Linked DNA regions of Stegostoma tigrinum. The protein of the gene in region 3 purifies or fractionates together with the protein of the main gene of each other region. This does not show direct contact. Links are inferred from orthologs where the notes say so. Each region holds a gene or a part of one and is shown on either strand. Other genes may lie near its edges.

Evidence for each region.
Region 1: the proteins of si:ch211-140b10.6 (region 3) and polr1b purify together in Homo sapiens (affinity purification with mass spectrometry; 5 studies listed by BioGRID and IntAct, with this or other methods). This does not show direct contact. The link is inferred for Stegostoma tigrinum from reciprocal best matches to the Homo sapiens genes POLR1D and POLR1B.
Region 2: the proteins of si:ch211-140b10.6 (region 3) and polr1e purify together in Homo sapiens (affinity purification with mass spectrometry; 3 studies listed by BioGRID and IntAct, with this or other methods). This does not show direct contact. The link is inferred for Stegostoma tigrinum from reciprocal best matches to the Homo sapiens genes POLR1D and POLR1E.
Region 4: the proteins of si:ch211-140b10.6 (region 3) and crcp purify together in Homo sapiens (affinity purification with mass spectrometry; 5 studies listed by BioGRID and IntAct, with this or other methods). This does not show direct contact. The link is inferred for Stegostoma tigrinum from reciprocal best matches to the Homo sapiens genes POLR1D and CRCP.

Annotation. Positions count from the first base shown.
Region 1 is NC_081357.1:19,879,692-19,887,227, forward strand, and holds the start of polr1b (DNA-directed RNA polymerase I subunit RPA2), read right to left. Parts: upstream 3,007-7,536; 5' UTR 2,994-3,006; coding exon 2,784-2,993; intron 1-2,783. UniProt on the Homo sapiens protein: Catalytic core component of RNA polymerase I (Pol I), a DNA-dependent RNA polymerase which synthesizes ribosomal RNA precursors using the four ribonucleoside triphosphates as substrates.
Region 2 is NC_081356.1:12,667,299-12,675,252, forward strand, and holds the start of polr1e (DNA-directed RNA polymerase I subunit RPA49), read left to right. Parts: upstream 1-4,947; 5' UTR 4,948-5,022; coding exon 5,023-5,092; intron 5,093-7,115; coding exon 7,116-7,219; intron 7,220-7,388; coding exon 7,389-7,465; intron 7,466-7,954. UniProt on the Homo sapiens protein: Component of RNA polymerase I (Pol I), a DNA-dependent RNA polymerase which synthesizes ribosomal RNA precursors using the four ribonucleoside triphosphates as substrates.
Region 3 is NC_081359.1:78,384,848-78,392,053, reverse strand, and holds the start of si:ch211-140b10.6 (protein POLR1D-like), read right to left. Parts: upstream 3,021-7,206; 5' UTR 2,614-3,020; coding exon 2,588-2,613; intron 2,310-2,587; exon of another isoform or gene 2,173-2,309; intron 1-2,172.
Region 4 is NC_081380.1:23,486,353-23,493,175, forward strand, and holds the start of crcp (DNA-directed RNA polymerase III subunit RPC9), read right to left. Parts: upstream 3,021-6,823; 5' UTR 2,959-3,020; coding exon 2,951-2,958; intron 1-2,950. Other genes in the region: uncharacterized protein LOC132211035, read left to right, coding at 3,141-3,157, 5,832-6,291. UniProt on the Homo sapiens protein: DNA-dependent RNA polymerase catalyzes the transcription of DNA into RNA using the four ribonucleoside triphosphates as substrates.

The DNA.
Region 1 (7,536 bases), on a different chromosome or scaffold from region 3:
GAAGGAGGCTAGTACAATTACAACATTTAAAAGGATGGGTACAGGAATAAGAAAGGTTTAGAGGGATATGGGCCAAATGCTGGCAACGGGACTAGATTTATTTTGGATATCTGGTCAGCATGGACAGGTTGGACCAAAGGGTCAGTTTCCATTCTGTATACATCTCTATGACTCTAATAAAGCAGTTAAGAAAGGATATGGGATTCTGGGTTTTATTGTCGGGTACAAATGCCAGGATATTATACAAGAATTGACCGAAATAAAATACCAGTGCTGTCCAATCAGGAGCATTGTGTCCAATTAAGGAAGATTACAAAGATTTTGGACAGAATTTTAAAAATTAATAGAATAGGTTCAACAATGAGGGATTATAATTGCATAGAAAGACTGGAGGAGGTGTGAGACCTCTTGAAGCAAAGAAGATAAAGATGAGATTTGACTCATTCAAGAAGAAATTCAATAAATAATTGAAGAGTAAAAACAGCAAGGATGTTGACTGCACTTCAAAGAATCTTGAGTGGAGAAGTGGTTCCCTTCTATGTTCTACATCTCTACAGTAATTAAGGAAACTAGTGGGAATGGCTGATGAATAAAGCCCAGCCCAACCAACTGAAGAGCTACCAAGGCCCAGGCTGACATTTGCTCTTGCAATTCAGAGCACCGGCATCTGGGTGGTGGCTCAGGGTCCATATTACTGCTGCCTTGGAGCATGTTTCTGATGCCTCTGATGTCATTACTCAGATTCATGTAGCTATTCTCCCTGTCCAGTTGCTGCTTTCATATAAACATACATTTGGAATACTGTGTGCAGTTCTGATCTCAGAGGTAGTAGGAACTGCAGATGCTGGAGAATCTGAGATAACAAGGTGTAGAGCTGGATGAACATAGCAGGAAGGCTGACGTTTCGGGCCTCGACCCTTCTTCAGAAAATGTACAAGGATGCTGCCAGGATTGGAGGGTTTAAGCTTATAGGGAGAGGCTGAATAGCTGGGGCTATTTTCCCTGTTGCAGTCAGAGGCCGAGGGGTGACCTTATAGAGGTTTATAAAATCATGAGGAGCATGGATCGGGTAAATAGTCAAGGTCTTTTAAAAATTTAAAAGCACTTTCTGTTTCTGTGCAGTACATCTCTGTGACTCTATATTAGAATCAGGGGTAGGCCATTCAGCCTCTTGAGTCTACAACACCATTTAGTAAGATCACAGCTCACCTGATTACAACTCCAAATCCCCATTCCCACCAAACCCTGATTTTCATCACCTAGCACAAGATGATTGTACATACGGTTCCTTGAAAATTCCACTACCACCACTTTTTTTTAAAGAAACAGAGTTCTAAGGCTCCCAATGCACAGCCGAGAAGAAAAATAATCTCATCATTGTTTTAAATAGGTGACTGCAACCCTTAATTCAAGACTCTCCCATAAAAGAAAACATCCTTTCCTCATCTGCCTATCAAGAGCCTTGCTCCTGAGACGCTGCTTGGCCTGTTGTGTTCATCCAGCTCCACACTTTATTTTGAATTCTCCAGCATCTGCAGTTCCCATTATCCCTTGCAAGGTGCTGTTGCTCATCACCCATACCATGGTCGATGTTGCCAATGCCCAGATCCTTAAGACTGATACTCCAACCGCTGCTGTTTCCCAGGTCCATGTTGCTGATCCTTCTATGGTCCAACTACCCTGTGCTATTATGCTCCGTTACATGCCTCATGGCCCACTGCAGTTATGCCTCCTCTATAGCTGCTGCTGTTTCCCAGGTCCATGTTGCTGATCCTTCTATGGTCCAACTACCCTGTGCTATTATGCTCCGTTACATGCCTCATGGCCCAATGCAGTTATGCCTGCTCTATAGCCACTGCTGTTGCCCCTGTACATGTTGATGCCTCAGGGCCCATGCCCCATTGTTGCCCCCCCCCATGACCATGCACCATTGTTGTTGTCCCCCGCCCCGAGCCCGTGCCCCATTCTTGCCTTCTTGCCCTCCGGCCCCCCACCCCCGCTCCATGGTCCGTGCCTCGTTGTTGCCCTCCGGCCCCTCCAGCCCGTACCCCATTGTTGCCGCCCGTGACCCCCCCCAACCCCCTCCAGGGCCCGTGTCCCATTGTTGCCCTCCGTTACCGCGCCCCCCCCCCTCCAGGGCCGTGCCCCATTGTTGCCCTCCGTTTCCGCCCCCCCCTCCAGGGCCCGTGCCCCATTGTTGCCCTCCGATTCCGCCCCCCACCCCAGGGCCCGTGCCCCATTGTTGCCCTCCGTTTCCGCCCCCCACCCCAGGGCCCGTGCCCCATTGTTGCCCTCCGTTTCCACCCCCCCCCCTCCAGGGCCCGTGCCCCATTGTTGCCCTCCGTTTCCGCCCCCCACCCCAGGGCCCGTGCCCCATTGTTGCCCTCCGTTTCCGCGCCCCCCCCCCCTCCAGGGCCCGTGCCCCATTGTTGCCCTCCGTTTCCGCGCCCCCCCCCCCTCCAGGGCCCGTGCCCCATTGTTGCCCTCCGTTTCCGCGCCCCCCCCCCAGTGCCCGTGCCCCATTGTTGCCCTCCGTTTCCGCGCCCCCCCCTCCAGTGCCCGTGCCCCATTGTTGCCCTCCGTTTCCGCCCCCCCCTCCAGTGCCCGTGCCCCATTGTTGCCCTCCGTTTCCGCCCCCCCCCCAGTGCCCGTGCCCGTGCCCCATTGTTGCCCTCCGTTTCCGCCCCCCCCCCCAGTGCCCGTGCCCCATTGTTGCCCTCCGTTTCCGCCCCCCCCCGCCCCGACACGAACCCATGCCCCACGTGCTCTGGGCTCGCACTCACCTGCACGGCCCTAGCCAGCCCCTCGCTCACCGCCTGGTCGAACGAGTCCACGTGAGCCGCGACCAACTCCAGCAATGCCCTCCGCCGCTGCCGCTGCTCCGGGTCCGGGTCCAAGCCCACTCGCCCCATCCTCAGCCCCGGCTCTGTCAGGTTCTTCAGGCTCGGCCGGAGCCGCTCTTCGCCACACAGCTGCCTCCACTTGTCCGCCATTTGTCCAACGAGATAGAAGGATCGGGGGGGCAACAACGGCAAACGATAAAGGTTCCGCTTCAGGATCGCCGAGCGTGCGCAGGAGGGAGGGGGATGCAATGCTGAGTTCCCAACTCAAGACATTTGGATTGTGCCTCAATTCATGTTCATTCATTTTAAACAGATAGCTTTTACTTGCATGAGTATTATTCCAACAATATGTACAAAACAAATTAGTTGATTGGAAGGTAATGACATTTCCTTTATATTTAAAAGGCGTTGTTTTCGCCGAAATCAAAAGATAAATGTAGTTGTTGTAATCGTCGAACAGAAACATGATGTGGAGTGCTTCCTTACTGTCCTGTGTTGACAGCATCACCTTGATAAAGTGTTATGATCATAGAATCCCTACAGTGTAGAAGCAGGCCATTCGGCCCATCGAGTCCACACGGACCCCAGGAACAGCGTCCCACCCAGGCCCATCCAATCCCCGTAACCCCGCATTCCCCATCGCCGACCCACCGAGCCTGCACTTCCCTGCAAACTATGAGCAGTTTTTGCACGGCCAAACCTACACATCTTCGGACTGTGGGTGCAGGCTGGAGCGCCCAGAGGAAACCCACACAGTCATCCAAGGGTAGAATCAAATCTATGACTTTGACGCTGTAATGCTAACCACTGAGCCACCATCTCTACCTTAATTAGTTTGTAGATTGGAAATATTCATTATTTTGCTTAGACCCTCAGCATGTGACTGCCATACCTATCCTGTTATTTCCAGTTAGTTTAGTTGTTTTGTAATTATCTCTCTGCCTCATAATCGGATTATAGGCGTCCCTTCACTTGTTATTCAGCTGTCGACTCTTTATTCACACCATCTATCACTCTCGGATACCTGCAGGGACTTATCATTGGACTCACACCAGTTCTAACTCTCTGCCCTTGATTTCTGTTGTCTAAATTGGTCTGTGTGCTCTTTGCTCACACTTCACCTGAGCAAGAGGCTGCGCTCCAAAAGCTTGTGATATTAAATAAACCCGTTGGACTATAGCCTGGTGTCGTGTAAATTAAAAATAATCTGTAAACACAGTTCCATATGTTGTGCACTTTTTGATGGTATTTATTGAGTCAACCTATGGAGACCATAATCTCTCCCTCATTTTACATTCACGAATGTAATTCAATCCGTAAATCCACAAAATAAAAAAAGACAACTGCAGATTCTGGAGATCGGAAACAAAAACAGAAATTGCTGGCAAAACTCAGCAGATCTGGCGCAGTTCCAATTAAGAGACAATGGCTTTGAAATGTTAACTCTGCTTTCTCCCACAGATGCTGCTAAACATGCCGAGTTTCGACAGCAATTTCTATTGTTGCTGCCAATCCATGGTTTTTTTTCTGATGAAGAGTCTAGGCCCGAAACGTCAGCTTATGTGCTCCTAAGATGCTGCGTTCATCCAGCTCCACACTTTGTTATCATGAATTTCACCCTGTCCTTTCTTTTATTGATAAGATTTGTTAACAGTACAAATCATAGTACAAGGTTGGCTATACAATGCAACAAACCCTTCGATCTTATCATCTGTGTTACATTGGTGCATTTGATCCACATGCATCCCTCATCCATTTGGAAAACTGTTCACTTTTGTCTGTTACTAAGAAAGTTTTACACGTTAGAAAAGGATACTTTCAGCATAGAAGGGAGAAATGACAAAGAAACATTAATCAGGCTTAAAGCTTGTGTGCTTTAAGAAATTTTTTGAAAAATCACAAAAAATAAATATTATCTTAAAAAGACTCTAAATTATGCCAAAAAAGGAGGTAAAGGACATAAGTTATAAATCAGTGTTAATTTGGTACAGGTATCAGGAGAACCATTCTTACCCAATGAAAAATGTTTAAAATAATCTACCAAGCAATGTAGTAGAGGCAAACCAGTGCAGTTATTTAAAATACAATTACATATATCCCAGATTTTTCTCCATTGTTGTAAAGGTCATAAAGTTCAAAATGTGAACATCTTTCCCGATTATAAAGAGCAATAGCCTAGGCCTTAAATTTAAAGATATTAATTCAAGAACAAAGTTCTAATGCTCTCCACAATCTACCATTTTGTTGCCATGGTTTATAAGAGCAACCCAACTGAATTACCATGTTAGGGTACACATTATTTTCTATGTGCCCATCAATCTGAACCTTTTTAGCAAATGGCCATGGAACAACTATCCATGACATTACATGACTATTGTCCCCTTGCCCACCTTAACCTGAGGGTTTGTTTACGATTCTTTCTGAGAATAAATACTTATTTTCAAAAACAATATACTGGCAGGGTCCTAAAGAACTACAGATGCTGTACATTAGAAAAAAAAACAGAAAATGCTGGAAGAACTCAGCAGATCTGGCAGAATCTGTGGAAAGGGTTACTCAATCCAAATCGTTAACTCAGACTTCTCTCCACAGTTTCTGCCAGATCTGCCGAGCTTTTCCACCAACAGGGTTTGTTTGGTACCAGATACTTGTTGATGCTAATTCATGGCATTATGTCCTTTTTTGTAATTTTTCATTTTAATTTCATATGAGAACTTTGAAATTGAAGGTACAGGTGTCCTAGCTTTTAAATGAAACCCTGTGCTATATACAGCAAATACTAGGAAAATTTAGTTTTAAAGGGACACCAATATTCAACAGCCTGTATCTAATAAAACTTGATGTTCCGACCCCTCCTGATTACTTGTGCTCCCCGTGGTGATTTGTTTTATTTTAGACTCATATAAAGATCGACACTATTCATTACTCTGGATCCTCCAATACCATAGCATTTGACGGACAGATTTTCTACACCAGATGTTATCTTTTTATCTTCCTTTATCATTTGGTACTTGGTCTGTGATGAATTTCTACACAATATTTGTAGAAGTAAAACTTGTAAATATTCAATTATCTGCACCAGGTGGGAGATGTTCCTCTCTTCACTACGGCTGTTCATGATCGTTTCTGTAAATGGTTGTATTGCATTAATTCAGTATTGTTTAATTTGGGCTTGATAACATCCATTAAAGGTGCTAACATGAATGTAATAAATATCCCAAGGCACTTCACAGAAATTTCATTAAAGAAAATTTGATACTGAACTACATAAGGTGATACCTGAACATGTGACCAAAAGGTAGGTCAAAAGGGCCATCTTAAAGATGGTGGAGCAATTTAGAGGGAATTCCAGACATCAGACATTGTGTGGCTAAAGCCTCAGGTGGGAAAATGGGAAAATTTGCTCCATTCAATTGCAGAGTCAGAACAATGTCCACATGGGTATAGATCAAGGCCATATTTATCACAAGAACACAGTCTCAATTGACACAGTTTACATATCAGGGAAGTTCTAACATGGATCTGCTCAGAGTTGGCTGACTCAGCATAAAAGTGAAGGTGGAACTCAGCATGCACCTGCCTCATGGATCAGTATCGACTGGAAGATGTTATAATAGAGACAAGTTGAATTTTGTTGCAAATTCTGTAATGGTCAAGTGGATATAATTTATAGTTATTTAAAAACAAACTTTATGAATAAGTATGCAGTCTCAGATAACTCAGTAGAAGGTAGCGAGTTTGGAGAAGATTTGTAGCTCAAGTTGAGTTTCTGGATGTGAGTTTGCTCCCCAAGCTGGAAGGTTAGTTTTCAGACGTTTCGTCACCATTCTAGGTAACATCTGTTACCTAGAATGGTGATGAAACGTCTGAAAACTAACCTTCCAGCTCAGCGAGCAAACTCACATCCAGAAACTCGTAGAAATTGGTGTATAGTGAATAATTTATTTCAATTGCACTTTCCATCATTTTCAATTTGAAATATCTTATCATTAGGCTATATGCTAACATGGAACATTTACTGTAAGTACAAGGGATCCCCAATTTATGAACACACGCTCATACTTATGAGCGCTGTCCCATACAGGGTGTAATTTTCATGACTCAACATTCAACCGTTTATACTGACAAATGGCTGTTTTACGTTGTCCTTCATAGTGTTCTGACTTGCATACAAATCGAGTTGCCAACAGACTCTAGACCCTTTCACACCTCAAAGACTACTCATATTGAGACCATCACACTTGTATAGAGACACCGAGCAGTGAAACGTGATGTATGAAAACAAGTTGAATTTTGCTGCAAATTCTGTAATATTCAAGTGGAAATAGCTTGTATTAAAATTGTAATTGAAGTCTACTTGGGTTATGATATTCCCAGGTCCTTACCGGTTTAATGATGCTTCTGCATTTTGCTCTTTGTTACAACAATATTCTCATGAGATCAGGGTGACTGGGCTGTCAAAATGTTACTTTCCAAGTACTGTTGAGAATACTTAGTTAAAATTAGGGAGATTAAAATAAAGACAGGAGATCATTGGTAACTCTTTATTTTCATGATACTGTTTTGAAGTTAGATACTGAGAAACATGCACTAATAGCAACATGTCATCACAATAATCTGCCTGTGATGAGTTAGATGACACTACAGTGCACTCTCAAGAAACTGTAGCAAATATTCTGGGAGAAAACACCTT
Region 2 (7,954 bases), on a different chromosome or scaffold from region 3:
TGGGTGGCATCATTGTGGCACTGCAGGAGGCCCATGATGGACATGTCGTCTAAGGAATGGGAGGGGGAGTTAAAATGGTTCGCGACTGGGAGGTGCAATAAATGTTGGTTTATATCCAGAAGATAGGGTGATGGGAGGGGTAAAGAGCAAACGATACGTGGAGATAGAGCCTAGGGAGAGGGAAGAGACGTTGGATAGACAAAGAGGTCGATAACGATCAGGCTGGCAGGGTGAATAGCTGTTAATGGGCACTGTTAGTGACGAACAATATGTAGTGTGTAATGGCAGGCCATGTGATAACAAGGCCTAGTGTGTGGGTAAGGGGCCAGGACACTGGAGAGTATAGGCTCTAAAATGATTGAACTTAATATTGAGTCCACGGGCCTGCAGTGTCCCCAGGTGGAAAATGGGATGCTTGTGCTGAGCTTCACTGGAACACTGTAGCAAGCCTGAGACAGAGATGTTGACCAGGGTACAGGCAGGTGTGTTAAAGTGGCAGGCAACTGGAAGCCAATGGTCTTTTTTGTGGGCGGAGCGTAGATATTCTGCGGAGCAGACACCCAGTCTACACTTAATTTCCCCAGTGTAGAGGAAACCACTTTGTGAGCAGCAAATGCAGTAGACTAGATTGTATGAAGGTTTACTTGGGCCCTTGGATACTGGGGAAGGAGGAGGTAAATAGGCATGTGCTACACCTTCGGCAGACAGGAGGTGTCTGTTTCTTGGCCTCATCCAGTGTTCGTCCAGAAGGGATCAGTATTTTTTCACTTGCTGTCATTTCAGGATGTTGTGGCTAGTTATGGCTCTCCTATGTTCTGCTAACTTACTCAGCTGGAAGATAGAACTTGAGACCTCCTGCTACGAATCAGTGCAGCGTTGGTAAATTATAGGAGAGCTCCATTTTATGTTACTCTGTCCCCAGAGTGATCATACTCTAAGATCTATGTTCATGCGTGGTCTGTGGAACTGGAGCTATCTCAATTATGCAATTCACGCACAAGTCTGACAGTTGTAGAATTGTTTTTGATCAACAGGTCTGATCTTGCCATCAGCATCACAATTGTTTAAACTGTTTTTTAAAAGTGTGTCAAAAGGATAACAAATTTTAGTCTCTCTTGAATTTGTTTTTTTATTTCTTGAACACATTAAAAAAAGACATGCTTGTGTATTTGTGGTTGCAAGTCTGGCAGATCATTCCAAGCTTTATCACTCTCTGAATAAATACTTAAGATCTTTTTGATATCAGTTTTAACGAATTTTTAATTATGCCCTGCTGGCCTAATTTTTCTGGTTTGAAAGCTAGGCCCAAATTTTTCCTGCCAAATTCAGTATTGAGCTAGTATACATCCCTTGGAGATGCATGTCGGCAGCTAGGACCACAATGTTTGAGAATTTTTGTTCATAATTTTATGGAAGGCTAGGAAAATTTAACAGTTTAGCTCAACAACATGCTTCATGTCCTTCTGGATGAAGGGACGGGGGGCATTCTGGCGAAGTTTGCCGATGATACAAAGATAGGTGGACAGGCAGGTAGTACTGAGAAGGTGGGGAAGCTGCAAAAAGATATAGACAGTTTAGGAGAGTGGTCCAGGAAATGGCTGATGAAATTCAATGTGAGTAAATGTGAGGTTTTGCACTTTGGAAAAAGAATACAGGCATGGATTATTTTCTAAATGGTGAGAAAATTCATGAAGCAGAAGTACAAAGGAATCTGGGAGTGTTGGCCCAGGATTCTCTAAAGGTTAAGTTGCAGGTAGAGTCCGTGAGTAAGAAAGTGAATGTCATGTTGTCGTTTATCTCAAGAGGGTTGGAATATAAAAGCAGTGATGTGCTTCTAAGGCTTTATAAAGCCCTAGTTAGGCCCCATTTAGAATACTGTGTTCAATTTTGGGCCCCACACCACAGGAAGCACATACTAGCCCTGGAGCATGTCCAGCGGAGATTCACACGGATGATCCCCGGAATGGTAGGCTTAATGTGCAATGAACCGCTGAGGATCCTGGGATTGTATTCATTAGAGTTTAGAAGGTTGAGGGGAGATCTAATAGAAACTTACAAGATAATGTCTGGCTTAGGAAGGGTGGACGTTGGGAGGTTGTTTCTGTTAGGCGGGGAGACTAGGACCCGTGGGCACAGCCTTAGGATTAGACAGGGTAAATTTAAAACAGAAATGAGGAGACATTTCTGTGGTCAGAGAGTGGTGGGCTTGTGGAATTCATTGCCACAGAGTGCAGTGGAGGCCGGGATGTTAAATGTCTTCAAGGTAGAGATTGATAAATTCTTGCTCTCACAAGGAATTAAGGGCTACGGGGAGAGTGCAGGGAAGTGGAGTTGAAATGCCCATCAGCTATGATTAAATGGCGGAGTGGACTCGATGGGCCAAATGGCCTTACTTCCACTCCTACGACTTATGGTCTTATGGTCTTAATTGACCCATCCTTAAACCTAATTTACCATTTTACTTTAGCCAGCTCCATTTTCGTGCCTTCATAATTGTCCCGAATAAAATTTTAAAGGATAGTCTTGGGCTCACTTCTGCCTAGTATCATTCTGGTGAAAACCTTTGAAAATGCAACTGAAAAGTGAACAATTGGAAACTTAATTTCATCACTTACTTATTAAGGTGCAAGATATTGGAGACTTTTCATCTCAGACTTCACTTGCATCAGAAAACATTGTATATTATGAAAATGCTTCATTCAAGTTACAAGTAAAATGTGAAAGGAGAAATTGCAAAGTTGAGAATTTTTATAGCCTATGTGTTGCCTGTCCTTCTTTTTTCATCAGGAATATATTAGCCCAAATGAACTGAAAATCTTACAGTGTTGATTTTAAAAATGATTTGCATTCAAATAGTGCTTTTCATAGTCACCAATTACTTTACAGACAATTGAAGTACATTTGAAATGTAGTTATTATTGTCTGGTGGAATCTTGTGACTTTAATTTGTTGAAGGGTACCTGGAATCTCAAAACTTTGTTTAACTTAAACAAGGAAAACCTTACTGGTCTCCAACCAGATTGCAACATGCATTTGCTGGCTTCATTGGGTATTATAACAGGTGTTTAGTGGGGTTCTGTTGTGTGTGTAAATCTGAGCTGCACCCCACCCCCCTGCATGTAGCACAGGACCTCGCAGGTCACTGAGATTTGGTTACATTATTACCTCGGGATTTCCTTGTGTTTTTACTCTCCTCTGATATTTCTGAGCAGCACGACCAGAATTATCCAATTTGGAAAGTGAGCAGTTTCCTCTTGGAAACAGAAATCTGACCTGAATCTTGGCTTACAAAGTAATGGTAGCATAATCATCTCTCAGTCAGAGGGCTGAAGGATGAGTTCTCACTCCTGAGAGTTGATCACAAGCCTTGGTTGATACTCAAATGCTGTGCTTAGTAGGGGCTGTTTTTTGAAGTAAATGCTAAGTTGAGGCACAACATGCTCTATCAGATACATGTAAGAAATCCCACAACACTAATCATGTAAGAATAAGACGGAAAGAGTTGAGAGACTGGTTAACAATATCATGACAGCCAGGAAACAGAATTAGGCCATACCGTAAGCACTGTGTGCAGTTCTGGGTTGCCACACTAAACGAAGTGATTGCATGAGAGTTGAGTTTGCCTGGCTTGTAGTGAGTCAGCTATTAACAGAGACTAGAGCAGAGAAGTCTGAAGCGGGGGACATGGTTGATGTGTACTGAGTTATAAATGCAATATGGAGACAGAAAGGGCTGCAGGTGCTGGATGCTAGAGTCAAAAAATATGGACCTGGAAAAGCACAGCAGGTCAGAGAGCATCCGAGGTGCAGGACTCAGAATCCTAAAGGAGAGTTCTGATCCAAAATGATGAATGATGAATGATGACTTTCCTGCTCCTCGGATGCTCGCTGACCTGCTATGAAGGCAATACGATAGGGAAGATAGGAAGGAACTTTTCTCCTTGGTAAAAGGGTCAATAACCAGGGACACATTTTTAAATGTAAGAATCAGGTTTTAGGGAAGATCTGAGGAAAGATTTTGTACACAGAAGTGGTGGATATCTGGAACTCCCTGCTTAAAAGGGTGGTAAAGCAGGAACCCTCATGACATTTAAGAACTACTTCAACGAACACTTGAAATGCCATGGCAGAAAGGCTACGGGCCAAGTGCTCGAAGTTTGGATTAGAGTAGTTAGAGGCTTATAGTGTTGGAACAGACTCAAGGGACAAAGGGCTTTCTCTAAGTTGTTAAAAAAATGAGTCAGCTACAGAACTGACTTATTTCAGAGCACTGTAAGAATTTGTACATTAAAGGTGCTATATAAATGTAGTTTTCGTGATCCAAATCATCAAACTGCGATGTATTGAAAACTAAGAATGCTGAAAACCACAGCGGATCAGGCAGCACCTGGGGAGATCAAGCAAGCTTACATATCAAGTCTAGACGAACCTTCATCAGAGGTGATGTGAAGTGTGGAGGAGATAAGAGGGCTGGTGGAGAAAGGATGTTGATAGTGCAGATTAAATGATCAGAATGTGAGAATGGCCGAACAGTGGTGTGTCCAATTGCCAGACTGGAAAGAACAGAGACAGTCCTACTGGACAGGAGGGAATGGAGAGAGGACACGGTGACAGAGAGTACAACAACTAAAGGTAAAGCAAAGACAAAGTTTTCAGTTCAGACTCCACCATCTGCAGTAATTTGCGCCTAAGCTATGATGTATGTAGCTTTGGCCTCTGGATAGCGCTGTTCTGTGGGACTGTTGATGATGTTAATACTGGACGACGGTGTCGCTGGCGCCGGGCGGCGTGGGCTCGGTAGGTGGCGGTGTCGCTGGCGCCGGGCGGCGTGGGCTCGGTAGGTGGCGGTGTCGCTGGCGCCGGGCGGCGTGGGCCTGGTCGGTGGCGGTGTCGCTGGCGCCGGGCGGCGTGGGCCCGGTAGGTGGCGGTGTCGCTGGCGCCGGGCGGCGTGGGCCCGGTAGAAGTTAGTGTGCGGCCTGGTGTCGGCGTTTGCGGAGTGTTCGTCCGGTTGGTGTTTGTACTGATGGCAGCTTTCGGTGTGTGGAAGTACAGGAATTTAACGGAATTGGATCCGGAGCAGTCGGCGACACTCGGTAGCGACTCTGGGAATATTTGGATTAGTCAGGCAGCGCGGAATGGCTGGGAATGTAGATCCAAAGGCACAGCCGGGGAAACAAAACTTGCATTTGTGTAGCATCTTTCATAAGCACTTAGACTTTTCAGACCACTTTTGCCCACCGTGTACTTTTTACGGTATAATTACTGTCGTGCAGACGTGGAAAAGCGAAGCTTGGCTCATATAAGGGCAGTAGTTGAAAATCTGATACTGTGAGTGCTGGAAATCTGAAAAAAAAGTCACAGCGTTACAGATACTCTTTCATTTATTTATACTTTCGTTCTTGCATCTTTGGCATAAATATCTGGCATCTTTTAGTTGTACCAACATTTATTACCCACCCCTAATTGCCTTCAATAAAGTGGCAGAACTGCTGCGACTCCTGGGGTGTGTAGGTGCACCCACAGTCCTGCTCGGGATTTTTGACCCAGTAACAGCGATGGGATTATCACTATAGGTCTCAGTCAGGGGTCTGTGTGAAATGAAGTGGAACTTGCCGGCAGTGATATTCCCATGTACTGGCTGCCCTTGTCATTCTTGGTGGCCGAGGTCACTGGTTTGGAAGGTGCGGTTTAAAGGTCCTAGGTGAGCTGCTGTAGTGCATCTTGGAGATGGTGCACACTTCTGTGGCTGAATATTGCTGCTGGGGAGAGCTTTAAAGGTTGGATACTGGGCAAACTGCTTTGCTGTTGGTGGTGCCAGAGCTGTAGTCACCCAGGTAAGTGGGAAGTATGCTGTGGCATTCCTGACTTAGGCTTTGTAGACGGTGGACAGTCTTTAAGGAGTCAGAAAGTAAGCTTATTGCTGCAGAATTTCTAGCTTCTAATCTGATCTTGCATCCACAGTATTAAATAGCTAGTTCAGCTCAACTTCTGCCCACTGGTAAGTGCCAGGTTGTTAATAATGTGGGTCATTCCGCATTATGTAATTATCAGTGAACATCCCATTCCTGATGCTTTGATGGAAAGGAGCTCATTGAAGCAGCTGAAAATGGGTTAGGCCTAAAATGCTATCTTGAGGAATTCTTGCAGTGATGTCCTGTGGATGAGATAATTCACCAGGACGGCACAGTGGCTCAGTGGTTAGCACTGATGCCTCACAGCTCCAGGGACTTGGCTTTGAATCCAGTTTCGGGCACCAGTCTGTGTGGGTTTCCTCCCGGTGCTCGGGTTTCCTTTCACAGTCCAAAGGTGTGCAGGTTAGGTGGATTGGCAGTGCTAAATTGTCTTAGAATCCAGGAATGTGCAGACCAGGTGACTAGTCACAAGGAATGTGGGCATATGGTGGTTCTGGGTGGAAAGCTGTGCAGAGAGTTGGTGTGGACTTGATGAGCCAATGGCCGCCTTCCACCCTGTATGGATTTTATGATTAAATCTGGGCGTGCAAGTAGACCATTCAGCAAGACAATGGCTAATCTAATAATTCTCAACTCCACTTCTCTGACTGTTCTCCATAATCCTTGATTTCCTTACTGATTATGGCACAGGTGGACTTGCTGTGTTGTATCCTCAAAGCTGAAGGTTACATTGATAGCATGCTTAAGGAGGTGGCTACACCAAACGTTTATAGCATGCCAGCAGAACAGTGTGACTGCCAGTCCCTGTATAAATCCCCCACCCTCTCTCACTAACTAACTTTTTCTATTTTGGGTGGTATTGAGAGCAATCACTTCTCAGAGGAGTATGGCAGGAGCCAAGTTCATGCCATTCATGACTGGCTCAGCTGCACAGGGATTGAGGCAGAAGAGTGAAAGTTTAGTTGTGGTAGCAGATTTGATAGGTAACGGTTACAGGCAAATTCCAGATAAAATAACCATCAAAACTGCCAGATTATCATTTTGTGCTCCTAAGATGCTGCTCGGCCTGCTGTGTTCGTCCAGCTCCACACTTTGTTAGCTTTTGTACTCTTATCATTAACCCTGCTAGTTTGATGTGGTTGCTGAACAAAGATATCCCGTGGGCCACTAATGAAATTTATGACAACACTGTCCTGTTTTGCAGTTCAGTTTTCCAATGGGAAACTCACAAATTCAGAAAATGTGGAATTTCAGCTGCATAAAAATATACACAGAAATCATCCCCGGAAAAAGCATCAACTGATCTTGGTAAGGACAGGTGTTCTTCCGCAGTAAAACATTTACAACAGTTTGCTCCATAGTAAAACTGGCATGATTAAAGTTATTATATGATTTCTTTAAGCTACTTTAATAACATTGCTAGCTCATTGAAATTGTTTAACTTCATTTAAAATGATTCCTTTTTCATCCACTGTAGTCTGCTGAGACGGATAGATTGACTTACGTTGGAAATAATTTCGGACCAAGTGCTCTGAAGTGTAATTCGTTGTGCAAGTAAGTTTGTTTCTTTGAATCATTGGCAGAATTCGATTTTTAAAAAGTGCTGAAAACATGCAACAGGATTGTCAACATGTGGGAAGAAATAGGAGAGGTTGTGGCGACAATCAGACGCTCTCTTCACTTTTTGTACCTATTCACGTGTTGAATCCTGAGATTAGCTAGAACAAAATTGCCTTCCTTTCAATTTGACCAACTACAGTGTAAAGCAAGCATAATATCTATGTTAAATGTGAACAGCAGTGAGGAATTGATAAATATCATTTTTGGATAAGGTAGCTTAGACAAATGGCATTTCCCATGCCATAAAACACAAAGAGTAATCTTTTCCCAGATACAGCCACATTTTGGACAAAGAACCTACAAATCATATTTTTTCCATTCTGTGCAGTATTGGAATCCACCCAGCCGCATTGGTGGTACACAGTTTGATTGGTGCTAACCTTTGAAATGAAAGAGAAGGTATGTTCTATTGTTGAGTAGAGG
Region 3 (7,206 bases):
CCAGGAAAGAGGAGAGTGATATGGTGATAAAGACTAAAGCGTGCAAACAAGACATGCACATTGTATTCCCTGTCTGGCATGTGCCTCAAAGCTGTAGCCTCATCATTTCCAACTGTTAAACCTGGATAATAGTGGATCATACACTCCAAACAACTTAATTTGTTAATCCATTTCCTTATACTGATGCCACATCTTTAAGTGTTTTTTACCCTAAATTTATTACTGACTTTAGTTAGGTTGTTGCTAAGCATGCATTTGTAGTAAAGTTCAAGATTGCTAGAAATCAGTTTTAATTTTTGTCATGAATTTTAAACTGAGCTGTCCACGTTGCGTCCTGACTGATTCAAAAGCCCTCCTACAGGCTGTTCTGCTCCACTTCACTCTGGTGTTTCTCTGCTTTGGCCACACATTAACTGTAATTAGTGTCAGAGCAACCTCATGTTGACTCTGCAATGTAAATGCAGCCTCCATGTGGGTTAAGCACTGAACAGCAAATGGTATCTGGGTTCTAATATAAGACATAAGATATCAAGGCATCTAACATGGAGCAGTGAAGACAGATGTGTGGCAAGATACTTTTATGTTTTAAATTCCCTTCTTGCAAGGGAATTTAAACTTAAATGAAACAACTGCACTGTTGTAAAGTAAAACACCTGATGCACTAATGTTCTCTTGGGAAAGAGATCAACCTTAAACATTCAGGCTTACGTGTGAATCCAAATACACTGCAATGTAATTGACTTTTAGCAGACGTCTGAAAGTGACTAGCAAACTACTCAGGTGTACTCAAAAAAAGGTAGTTAACCACTAGCTTTTCAAGGGTAATTTGGAATGGGGAATAGCACTTCAGATTATAGCATTGACACATGGTTACCATGCTCTTTTGAACTAATTAATCCTTGTCTTAAAATTGGAAAATCTGCTGTGTACTGCAATCTTTCCATTTGGATTACTAAAATGACATAAAAACTGAAGAAAAAAAATCAACACCAACACAGACAGTCATGTTATCACATGAATGTATCATCTAATGGAGTTAATGGAAATGAACAAAGTAGACTTTGAAATTCAAAAAAATCTCAAGACAGGCCTTGAAAAGAACTGAAACAGATGTATGCAGATAATACAGCCCAGGGTGGCCAGATTGGTGCGATTTGCTGAGTTCCTTGCTGTGGTGTTGACCACCCCACAAATCTTGGGCATATTACACCTCGAGAGGTCTTCTAACCAACTTGTTCAGAGGTTCAGAGACCTCGAACCGAGGTCTCCTGGGCAGAGATATTGCACAACAGTTATGTCCCTAAGAACACCAAAATGTAAATACTGCCAACCTCAAGTTGCCCAGCCTTGGAGTAGACCAGGGGTGGCACATTACGTAAACAATAAAAACTGCAAATGGTCAAGCAAATACATGTTACTTGGACAATGTCATAGTGGGCCTTACATCCCACATGAAATTAAGTAATTACTATGTTCTGAAGAAGGGTCACTGGACTCAAAACATTGCTTTCACTCCACAAATGCCACCAAATCAGTTGAGTCTCTCCAGCTCTTTTGTTTTTCTTTGCTTCAAATCTCCAGCATTCACAGTTCTTTGTTTCATTTCAGTTGCTATGTTAGGTGCTACAAGTGCAACAAATTCAGTTTAACTCTGAATAGACATTCCAAAAAAAATGCAATTAGGATACCTGTAGTGTTATTCCACGTGCTGATTTGATTTTCAAAATTATATGAGCAGTAACTGAAGGATCGTGATAAGCATAGTGCTGTTCATACAGTATGTTCCAGTTGCGAGGCTAGCGACATGGTAACGTCATTGATGGTAAAGTTGATTCAGAGATAGTAGGAATTGCTGATGCTGGACAATCTGAGATTACAAGGTGTAGAGCTGGATGAACACAGCAGGCCAGGCAGCGTTGGAGGTGCAAGGAAGCTAACGTTTCGGGTGTGGACCCTTCTTCAGAAAATGAAACGTCAGCTTTCTTGCTTATCTGATGTTGCTTGGCCTGCTGTGTTCATCCAGCTCTACACCTTGTTATCATGGATGGTAACGTGCCAGGTTTCTGAACCCTAGCATATTCTCTGGCATGTATAGTCAGAGGGCAGCCTGAATTTTATGTCGGCACTAGCTGACCCATAACCCTTGCTGAGGTTGTGGGCGGGAGGGGAATGGCCATGACATGCCAGATTTGCGAGGCGGAACACGTCACACCGGGCTGGTATGTTTTTTACAGATATACACATTCTGTATACAGAGTTGGGAATACGCTACGCCCGAGGAGGCCTGCAACAAACGCGATATCGAACAGGTAACCAGAAAGGTTTCTGATGAAGGGTCTATGCCCGAAACGTCAGTTTTTGCGCTCCCAAGCTGCTGCTTGGCCTGCTGTGTTCATCCAGCTCTACACTTTGTTATCTCAGATTATCCAGCATCTTCAGTTCCCATTATCTCTTACACAAAATTTGAATCGGGTTTGTTTAGAGTCGGTTGCCAAGACACCGCACACAGGACAGGGCCAGTAAGCCCCTGTGCTGCTGATAATGACATTAACATAGTCTCTGGCTGAAGTCATTAGATATTGTTTACCTCTCGAGTTCGCCATCTTTCTCCATGACAACTTCTCGCGCGACTCTAACACTGCTCTGAAGCTCGCGACTTCTTCGGTTTCTTTTGAAAGCCGCGTCTCGGAGCGAGCCGCCGCGGAGACCGCGAAAGCCCAGCTTTTCCCCGCCCCTCCACTGTCCGCAGCAGGATGGCCTATCTCAGCCGCCTGATCATACGTGCTCCGAAAGAAACAGCTGACTGAAACATGGTCGTTGTGAATAATGACGGGAAATAACATTCACTTCCTCCAGGAAATTATTTTTGTCTCTTCATTTCTGTCTCCCCTTCGTAAATACAAACCACCTACAGCTCTCCCCATTCGTGCAGGCAACGTTAAGAGACAGAAAGGTTTCCTCAGGTCGGCTTCACACTAACTTGCTGCAATTTTGGGGGTACAGGAGGGGAAGCGGTGACATTGTCGTGCGCTTTGATTGGTTTGCCTTTCACGCCTGCCTTCGTCGGTGGGCAGATCTTTGTGGCATCTCGAATTGTAATTGGATGTCTGTCCTGTCAATGTGGCTCCCCGACTAAGCAAGTTTATTTGACTGGTAATCTTCTGTACAAATCTTGAACACTAAAACCGAAGTTCTCGCAGTGAATGTTCACCAATCGCCTTGAAACATTCAGTTACTTGCACGATTTCTTGGAATTGTATGGCGCTGTATGGTTAGTGTTTGCTGTCTGCACCACGAAAGGTAAAGTAAACGTAAAGGAAAACCCATTTGATATTTATTTCGCAGTTATTGGTATCTTGACGACGAAGAATCTTGGAGGGAGTGTGTGAGAGAAATGCAGGCGCCTCCTACCCCTCCCAACTCAGTCTTTTTAACGTGAAATCTTCCTACTCCGGTGATTGATTTATTTTTCCCATACCGCTTCGCTGGTATAAATCAGAGTCTGCAGGAGAACGTTTTTGATGTGACCGTTATCTGGGAAGCTGCTGGATTGAGATGTGGGGAGAGCCGCTTGTTGCATAGATTGCTGAGGCTGCTTTGATATTTGACTTCGTGCATTTTAGACGTCTCGCCATGCTTTCAGGAGTGTTTGTTATTGCGCTCAGAAGGGAGACGTATGTGTATATTTATATATATCTATATGTGCTTGTTTATGGACAACATAAAACCTGCCACTCTGAGAGCACTAACAAACAGATGTTTAATTGATTCTGTCCACCACCTGCCCGTTTTCCAGTATCCGCAGTAATTTGTTTTTGTAAAGGCGAATAATACGTTGATATTTAACAATGAAATTTCATTTCACCGCTGTAATATTGATGTACTTCTCGTTAATCTATTAATTTGTTCAGTCGTTCAGGTCGTTTTGTCCATGCATCAAGTATTGACTCAAGTTTCTATTTAACCTTGCAAATATTTGAAGTAGAAGTGGTCAGTTTAGAAAACGTTCTTGCGTTGGTAAAGTGTAGAGCTCACTTGTTTTGTGATTTACTTATATTTTTATGACATCTCAACAGCAATCATTTTAAATTAATGGAAAAGCCTAAGATAAGCAGTTTTTATTTAAAACAATTTTAATCGTATGTTTTTTACGTCTTTCGAATTGAACGATTTTACTATTGATTTTTAAATACTGCCATATTGTGTTTTTTTAATAAAAAGTCATTTTTACAATCACTTAATAATTCTGGATTGAGTTTTGTTTGTGTACTTTTAGCAAAGAAAAATATCTGAATGTTTTGAATATGTTTATTTTAATTTGAAATGTTAACACTTTGCGCACCAAAAATTTCATTTAAGGGGTACTTGTGAGGATGTTAATTTATATATTCATTTTTGTACTTAGAATTGCTTTGTTCAGCAGTAACAAAATTGATCAGTGAAACCCCCTGTTATTCTGTACTGTGATGTACATATAGCTACTAGAAATCCTTGCAATTTTTGTAAATAAGAAACAAGAGATATATATCATTGTTGGATCAGTGGGATCAGATTTGTCTGGAACAAGGAATTTGCAGTCTCCCCCATTAGCTTGATTTGCAATTGCAAGTTTAGTTTTTTTGCCGTCAAATTACTGGAAGTGCCAGCTGATAATAGTCCAGTGAGATCAAAAAGATAATGATACCTTGCTGAACACTGGGACAATTTATGCACCTCTTTAATTTATGAAAGTAAATGACTGAAATAAATACTGATTTGATGTCATCTGGTTTCCATAAGTTAGCAATAATAGCCCAGATCTCCTGGTCTTCATTTACTTATTTTCTGGAGTAAGCCCAGTCTGTATGTTATTGAATTCTTTAGAAGTCCCAGTGGAAGGACTCCACCGGACTTGATGAATCTGAACTTTTGGTCTGCAATGCCTTGTTTCTGGGGCCCTCCGAAAATGTTTCCAATTCTCAGGTATAGTAGGAGACTTTTTGGATCATATACATCTATTTGCTGAACACTTACCCAGGAAATGTTGGAACAGGACAAAATCTGGTCTCACTCCTGGGTAGCTATCCAACTGTCTCCCCAACCTTACCTCCCAGCCACTTACACTGATTTCCCCCCAGTTACCCCTGCAACTGTACAAGCTTTCCTCCTGACACTCCAATTACCCTGCCTAATCCTCAAATCACCCTGACTCATGCCCAACTGACCCAATCCATTTGTTGCCAACCTGACTACCTTCATACCATCTTGCCCACTGTTCCAAGCTATCCACTGCATTCATGTGCTACCGTAACCATTCCTCAACCATTTGTCTCACCTACCATACATCCACAGTAAACCTATCCCCTTAACCACCTGACCGACCACCCTTACACTACAATTTTACCCCACCCACACTCACCCTCTTTCACACTTACCTTTCTTTCTGTGCTCTTCAGGGAAAGGTTGGAAAAGTTAGCTTTGCAGAACACAGCTACTGTGCATGTCTTATCTTGACAATCCAATGCTACATTTAAAGCAGTTCCATTTCAGACACATTCCAAATTTCTGTAGAATCTTGAAACAGAAGCAGGGCCAGAAAAGTGGAGCTCTGGCAAGTTGGAGAAAATTATGAGTGGAGTGACAATATAACAGCACTTGCCAATCCTCAAAAGACTCAGGCCGATTACACTTTAGATTCAAGAATGCTTCAACTTTATTGCATTTTTTCTTCTTTCAGCTCCCCATATGGTTGTAGACTGACAGACTGATACATTGTTACTCAGCACATGACTGTAATGTGACTGAATGCAGCGCCTTTAGATATATATTTATATAACAAGTTCTTTATGAATAATCTAAATGCATATCCTCCCTCTTCCTCGAAAGACTCTAAGCAAATATAACAATCCCAACAATTAACACTTTTTCTATTAACTACAGTAGTTTGATAATTAACTTTTATAAATAAATTGAACATACAAGAATATTTTATTGCTCAGTTTATACTGTCTGAAAAGGATTATTTGTGACTTTATTATGGCTTTGGTGATGGAATGTTGTGTGTCCATCTTGTGGTTTCACATTCATTGTTTTCAGTAAAGAATGGCCATGCATTATTGTTTTTGTTACTCCTGTTGTGTAGTAATTGTACTCTATGTTACTGATATTGTGTCAGTTGCTGGCATTGTTGATGAAGTTTTCTGCATTTCCAGGTCAGGATTCTGGAGTTTCATGTTGGGATTCTATATATGTACAGTTTTCCCTTGCAATTACTTAGGCATAGATGTAACATTTTTGTTGAAGTAATGGCCTCCTCCTACCTGTGATTAAGTGAATTGACCAAGTGACCAGGAAGAAGTCCTGTACTTTCTTTCGTTCAATTACTCTAGAAGTAATTTTGTGAAAACTTCTTGAGTTATAGATCAGTGTGATAATAAGTGTGTTGGTGTCTTCCTTTGTTTCTTGAAGGTTCCAGTACCCACCTGGACATGTTTATTGGTAAATCTTTGTCCTGTTTGGAAATGTGGTACTGATGTTGAAGTTTGTGTAATACTGTTGGTAGTTTTTAAATGTTCTGTTTATCACATCCTTCATAATAGACTCCCATTATTTTTCCTACAACTAATGTTAGGCTAAATTCCACTTTTCTCCCTTCCTCCTTTTCAAAATATTGGGGTTACATTTGCCATCCTCCAATTTTCTGGGACCTAATTAGAATCTGTAAATTATTAGCAGATAACAACCAACATATCTGCTATTTCAGTGGCCAACTCCTTTAGTACCCTGAAATGTAGATTATCAGGCCCTGAGGAGTTTTCAACTAGCAGTCCCATTAATTCTTCTTGAAATATTTTCCTTCATGGTAATTTTTGTCAATTATTCATACCCAAAGGACCCTTCTTTCCCTAGCACTTCTGGGAAGTTTTATTTTCTTGTCTTGTATGAAGACAGAACAGAAGTTGTGGCTTAATTGCTCTATCGTTTCTTCTACTCCATGACCAAATCTCCCATTTCAGATTGTGAGTTTGTCTTCATTTGTCTTCACTAACCTTTAACCTTTTTCATTTTACACGCTTACAGAAGCTTTTACAATCCACTTTTATGTTCCTTACTCTCATGCTCTATTTATCCCTCTTAATCAAACTTTTAGTCTTCCTTTGATGAATTCTAAACTGCTCCCAGTCCTTGGGCTTGCTACTTTTTATCAGGAACTTCATATGACTCCAT
Region 4 (6,823 bases), on a different chromosome or scaffold from region 3:
CTCTTGGCTTTGACTTTACATTGGCTCCCAAAGCCTCAAGTTTAAAAATCTTCTCATATTCAGATCCCTACATGGCCTTACCTCTCAATGTCAGAATCAATTCTGATAATATGATACCTCCCTGAAATGGCTACTTGTGTAGTCACTCCCAATTCTCTTGGTAAAACATCAGTAACCATGTATTTCAATTGTCCAGTCATCATGTTCTGGAATTCCCTCCCTAAACTATGCCTCTTTCTCTTTCTTTTTCTTTCAATTTGACCCACTAACAATCCTTTTAAAATCTCCTTCAGTTTAACATTCATTTTTGTTTTATTACACCACCTAAATTTGTTAGAGCTTATTTTGATATTAAAGCACTATAAAGAATTGCAAGCTCCTATTACTCTTCCGTCAACATTCAATACAAGGGGTGGCATTAACTAGTGGAAGCCAAACTACGATAAAAGATTTCAATTCTCTGCTCTTTAATTTTAGCATCTTGTATTTAAAAAGGGGATTGTTTTGTTGTACGGTATAAATAATAAAAGTTAATTTATTCACAAATGTTCACTTTAGTGCTTGTACTAAATGCTATAGTATAGAGTCATAGAGTTGTAGAGCACAGGAACAGACCCTTCAATCCAAATTGTCCATACAAACCAGATATCCCAAATAAAACTGGCACCATTTGCCAGCATTTGGTCCATGTTCCGCTAAGCCCTTCCTATTTATATACCCATCCAGATGTCTTTTAAATGTTGTAATTGTACCAGCCTCCACCACTTCCTCCGGCAGTTCATTCCATAAATGCAGCATCTTCTACATTAAAAAGTTGTCCCTTAAGTCCCTTTTAAATCTGTCCCCTCTCACCTTAAACCTATGCCCTCTACTTTTAGACCCCACTACCCCGAGGAAAAGACTAATCACCCTATCAGTGCTCATGATTTATTAAACTTCTATAAAAGGTGACCCCTCAGCCTTGACACTTCAGGGAGAATCGCCCAGACTGTTCATCCACAACAGATTTGAAATGTTTCGGTGGAAATTGATGTTCAAACAGAGGATTTTCTACAAGACATTTTAAAATTTTATACTGGATAAGTCAATAATCAGGACAGTGTATAACTGTCAGCTGGTTATTGATGCACTTGTCAAAAATATATTGTGTATAAAAGGGTAGAAAACCCGATTGTCACAATTGAAATTGGTGCAGTTTACAGTTACTCAGTAATCAATTCCCAATACAATTATATATGAACTTACTTTATAAACATGAGAAGTCTAATTTATCAATAGAATCATAAATGGGATCAAACATTGGAGTTTTTAAAAAAATATCGCGTTGCAAACCATCAGTCCCCCGATGTTCTTCACTTTTAGCTCCACAAGACAGCTGTAAGATTGTCTCTTCCCTCAAAAAAAATGAATTTTTCATGTGCACTTATCCCCGATATAATTTAAGAACAGGAGGCGGCACGATGGCTATGATCCGCACCGCTGCCTCACAGCACTAGGAATCCAAGTTCAATTCCAGCTCTGGGAAACTGTCTATGTGGAGTTCACATGATTTCCACGTGTCTGCGAAGATTTCGTCCCCACAGTCCAAAGTTGTGCAGGTTAGATGGCTTGGCCGTGCTGAAATACAGGGTTAAAGGGATAAGGTAGGAGGATGCTCTCGGGAGAACAAAGTGTGCAGCTGAAGAAGGGTCTAGACCCGAAACGTCAGCTTTTATGCTCCTCAGATGTTGCTTGGCCTGTGTTCATCCAGCTCCACACTTCGTTATCTCGGATTCTTCAGAATCTGCAGTTCCCATCATCTCAGATGCTCTCGGGAGAGTCGGTGCGGACTCTGTGGGCCGAATGACTTGTTTCCACGCGGTAGTGATTCTATTCTAAGCTTTCGTTCTGCTATCTGAGAAACCCCTTAAATGCATCCACACACAGTACATAACTTGCATTTCTACATTATTCCTCACGTGGACAGACACAAATCAAGAAAAACGGCCATGGACAAAGCGGTGGAGAAAACGGAAGTAGCTGACAGATACAAAAATCATGCTTTCTTTTAAAAAAGGGAGCTAAGAAAAACATGTGGGAAGTGAGTGACTATCACTAATACTGCGATTACTACAGAACATTGATGTGAGAACGTTGGGAGACATAAGCAGGTCATGATGAGGATATTCAAATTAACGGAGTTTTACTCCCATATAATATGGTCAATCAGATCAACGTATCGTCGACAGATACCCGCCACCACCCAGCTCCCCGTTCCCCAAGCCCTTGCCTCCCTCCCACAATTATGCGAGACAAAGTAAATTATTTATACGGAGAACATTGCAATTGAAAGTCTCATCACACTCCCTGTTCCAAACTCTCACATTGACAGCTGCTCTAAAGTCTCTATTTTCAACACCTCCTGCTGCACCATCTCTCCTCTGCGGCCCCTGCTCTTTCTGCTCTAACGTGTTGCGATACTGACATTGCTTGTCCCTTCAACCACACGCATGGTCTGCCACACGTTGAACATACTGGACCAAAATAAAAGACACAGGTACTGAGTCCAACCAGACTTATCCTATGTTTCGTTCTTAATTGCCGCACAATTCATAACCTCACAAACCATCACTGCTTGGCCAAACTTCCCGAGCTGCATAAATGAATTATTCATTCAGCAGACATAAGAGACTCACACCAAAACAAAAATCGGGCTATTTGCACAAAATACACAGGACAACCAAAAAGAACGAGTTTTGTCTGTTGTGAAAGAAAAGTGTTGAAAAAGACTGAAGGCGGGTTTTCTAAAATCAGCGAAAAATCCAAAAGACAGACTGAAAAGCTATGAAGAGAGCCGTAGTTTCTGTTTTTCTCCCCGTGCCGGACACCCGACTCCGTTTAAACGCTGCTAGTGACTTTGATGAGGCAACGTTGATCTAAAAACTGGAGCAAACATTTGAAGAGAACTTACACCTCCATCCTGCTTCCGCTCTCGGGCCCTGACAGCCGCTCTGCCACCGCAGTTTGGTTCCGACCTCTCACCGGAGGAAGAAACTGGCCGCACAGGCCCACGTGATTTCCGGTCATGAATCCCAGCCGCGGCCTTGAGCGGGAGCTGGTTCTGGGCCGGGGAACTGCTTCAACTGAGGTATTCGAACCAGATGGATAGAAATAATGTGTAAGAATATGGTTCATGGCTGGGTGTCTCTTCAGTGTACTCCATGACGTTATAGAGAGGTGGGCGCCGCAGGGTATACACTTCTTCATTTCTTCCAGCAACTCCAGTTTGATTTAGTCCCTTCCCCATCCACCTCCCCCCCGTTTAGATGGTTTGCATCGCCAGTAATGGCCTTTGCTTGTAAGCATCTAATATCTAAAACGGGTGTTTTACTTTACTGGTGGTGGTTGTTGGTAAGTTTTTTAAAAAAAAGCAGTCATGGTGATTTTAGTAGTGGGAAGGTCACTTAGTTGTGTGAGATAGCACTTCTGGGTATAAACAAGGTGCAGGGTAAAAAAGAAAGTTATGGTAATTTGGTGGTGTTTGTTTGTGTGTGTGTGTGATGGCACCTCTGGACCTGTAAAGATATGTGTCCCTGTTGCTGGACTATTGGTCCCAGGTTCAAGTTTCCCTGCTCCACAGATGTGTAATAATGTATCTGAACAGGTTGTTTAGAAAAATATTGTGTAAAAGTATAATTGAGAGACTTGTAGTGCAGTAGTAATGCCTCTGCCTATGGACCTAAAGACCTGTATTCAAATCTTACCTGCTGCAGACAGGTGCTGCCTCAGTACCAGGGCTATCATAACACATCTAGGTAGGTTGGTTAAAGTCTCTATCAAAAGTAATTTAACGAGAAAATAACATTTTACAGGATGTGATGTGGGCTCGAGTGAGGAGGCCTAGGTTGAAGTCTCCCCTGCCGCAGAAGTGTACAGTCACGTCTCTTAACTGGCAGATTAGAAAATCTGTGCAAATATATGGGTGCTCTGTCATGCCGTGCTAGCGTTCCTGCATCTGGGCAGAAACCTTGGGTTCAAGCCCCACTTCAGATGTGATTTTTAAAAAGTTTTGTTCAATGTTATAGGAGTGTGTGGGGAAGTAGGAGATTAGCACAAAAGGTGGAATGGTTAGTGAGGTGGAGTGGCTATAGAGTATGCAGCCTCATAGTGTTATTGGGGGGGGAGCGACCAAACAAGGGTTAGTGCGCTTCGGGGGCAGCTATGATCAGCCTTCTGAAGGAAGGAAAAGCCATCTTTGGATATTGAGCTGAGCAGCTTAGATTTGGAGATAAACAACAATAATGAGCAGCTATTTTTGCACTAATTATGAGCCTTTAGTCCTAAGGCATATCGAGCGGTTGTGCACAAGGCAGGGAGGGAGCCAAGGTGATGTCCCGATTTGGTATACCAACACAACTGGGCTTCCTGAATCCTATAGTCCACTTTGGTTGAAGAATCACTTAATCAGGCAGAGAGCCTCATTTCTCCAGCAGCAATCCATTAAATAGATATCTGCTAACAACTATTATGAAACCAGTTGAGGCACAGAAATGCTTCAGCAGCCTCCTGTCGCCATACCAGGGCCACCATAGAGCAGGCACTGTAGTCCTCAAGATTTGGTTCTGGTAGACAGATTAGGGGATGTTTTCCAGTACAGTCACTCAAGGATTCTTGAATTGGAGTGGTATGTTGCACCCTTAAAAGAATAACCCTCCTATCAGATGGGATCTTGATGAAGGAGAATTGGAGGAGAGGTACTGCCTTCGGTGTTAAGAAGGACCAGGGTAATCTAACCCTTGTGAGGTGCTCCACGGGTCTGGCTGAGCCGTCAACACAGCAAGCAGGATGGAAAGGGAGCTAGGCCCATCTGTTCAGCCAATTTTCTGTTAGATCCCTTCAAACTGGAGGTCCAATGACCTAAACTCACTTTTTCCAAAGTGAATGAGCAAATTTAGGAAGTGCACAAGGCATAATGTTTCCTCTGTTTCCCCACTGCCTGCATGACAGTTCTCAAACTGTTCTATTTCAAATGTGTCCACCCCCCCTTTCGTTATTTGTGAATCTTAAAGCCATCAATAGTTAGAATTGTGGATGTGACATTAATTATTTCATTACATTGAATCCTTTTCCGTAATCACAACCACAGTAAGGATCAACAAGGTGTGCCAGTACTGCTGACGTAGCACACTTTTCTCTTGACTAAACTAACTGAGTGCACTTCTTATGGTAGAAGTTGAGATTAATGCAACTGGGATGCCCATGGCAGTTTCTCATACACGAACACCTCAACAGACTTCTCTCTGATGAAGGGTCTAGGCCCGAAACGTCAGCATTTGTGCTCCTGAGATGCTGCTTAGCCTGCTGTGTTCACCCAGCTCCACACTTTGTTATCTTGGATTCTCCAGCATCTACAGTTCCCATTATCTCTGATACAATTTTAACCTCACTGCGAGGCCTCTTCCAGGGATGCCTAACCTGAAGAAGTTACCCTCCTCCCTCCGGACCAACCTCAGGGAATCTCTCTCCCACTGCAACTCTCTTGCAATCTCTTCATCCTTGAAACTGCTCGACCATGTCGTGAAGCAAACCAGGTACCACAGCCACATCACCTTCCTCAGCACCTGCCTACGGAACTGGATCATCCCCAATGGACCACAGTCTACATTCAAGCCTTCCCAATTTTGCCCCAACCGTGACCACCTCTACACCCAGAGCATTCAGACCCTTCAGAAGCGTTTCTCCCTGCGAGTCCTGCGTCGGCACCTCCAGGCATTGCAATCCAGCCTGCCCCAGCTCAGAGCCTCCCTCTCCCAGACCAGCAAAGGACCTCTCCTGTTTTTTATCCTCCACAGGATCCACAGACTGAACACCAGTTCTACTCAGCTTTACTGGACTCCAAAAATCGTAAGTACTACAAACTCATTGGCTCCTGGCACCTTGAAAAGGATTCCTGCACCTCCCAAATCCCGAGCCAGTCCCTGCCCCTCCCCCACCAAGCACCCGCCACCATTGACCATGAGGACATGGCCGGAGACCCCACCGATGACGACACATCTGCCACCGCTGGGCACACCACTTCTGGGACCGCAGATGCGACTGCTGCGGCAGTCACCACCTCCACTTCCAGTTGTAACACCACACACCACCCTCACCGCTGCTGCCGCCGCCCACCCTGTTCCTCCCACTGCCGACGGAACCCAGCCCATGGCTGATGCCGACGGAACCCCGCCCACAGCTGACGATCTCATCGCTCCGCCCACAACCTCAACAGCCGGGAACCCCAGAGTAGACAGCCACACAGAGCCCTGCTGAGTCTTCACCATCCCTGTAGACCTCCCACTGACTAGGATGAACGGTCATTCCTAAGCAAGGGGCTCACCTTTGTCCCCCCACAACCACACATCAACAAATACCAGTCACGTTTGGACATAGAGCAGTTTTTCCGCCGTCTTCACCTCCACGCTTACTTCTTCAACCGGGAGCCTAACCCTCCCTCCACTGACCCCTTCACCCGCCTCCAACACAAGTTGTCCTCCTGGACACCACCCCCAGGCCTCCTACCCTCCCTCGACCTCTTCATCTCCAACTGCCTCCGAGACATTAACCGCCTCAACCTCTCCACCCCTCTCACCCACTCCAACCTCTCCCCCGCAGAACGGGCAGCCCTCCGCTCCCACCCCAACCTCACCATCAAACCCACAGACAAGGGTGGCACAGTGGTAGTACGGCGCACTGACCTCTACATCGCCGAGGCCAAACGCCAACTCTCCGACACCACCTCTTACCGCCCCCTCGATCATGACCCCACCCCCGAGCACCAAACCATCATCTCCAACACCATTCA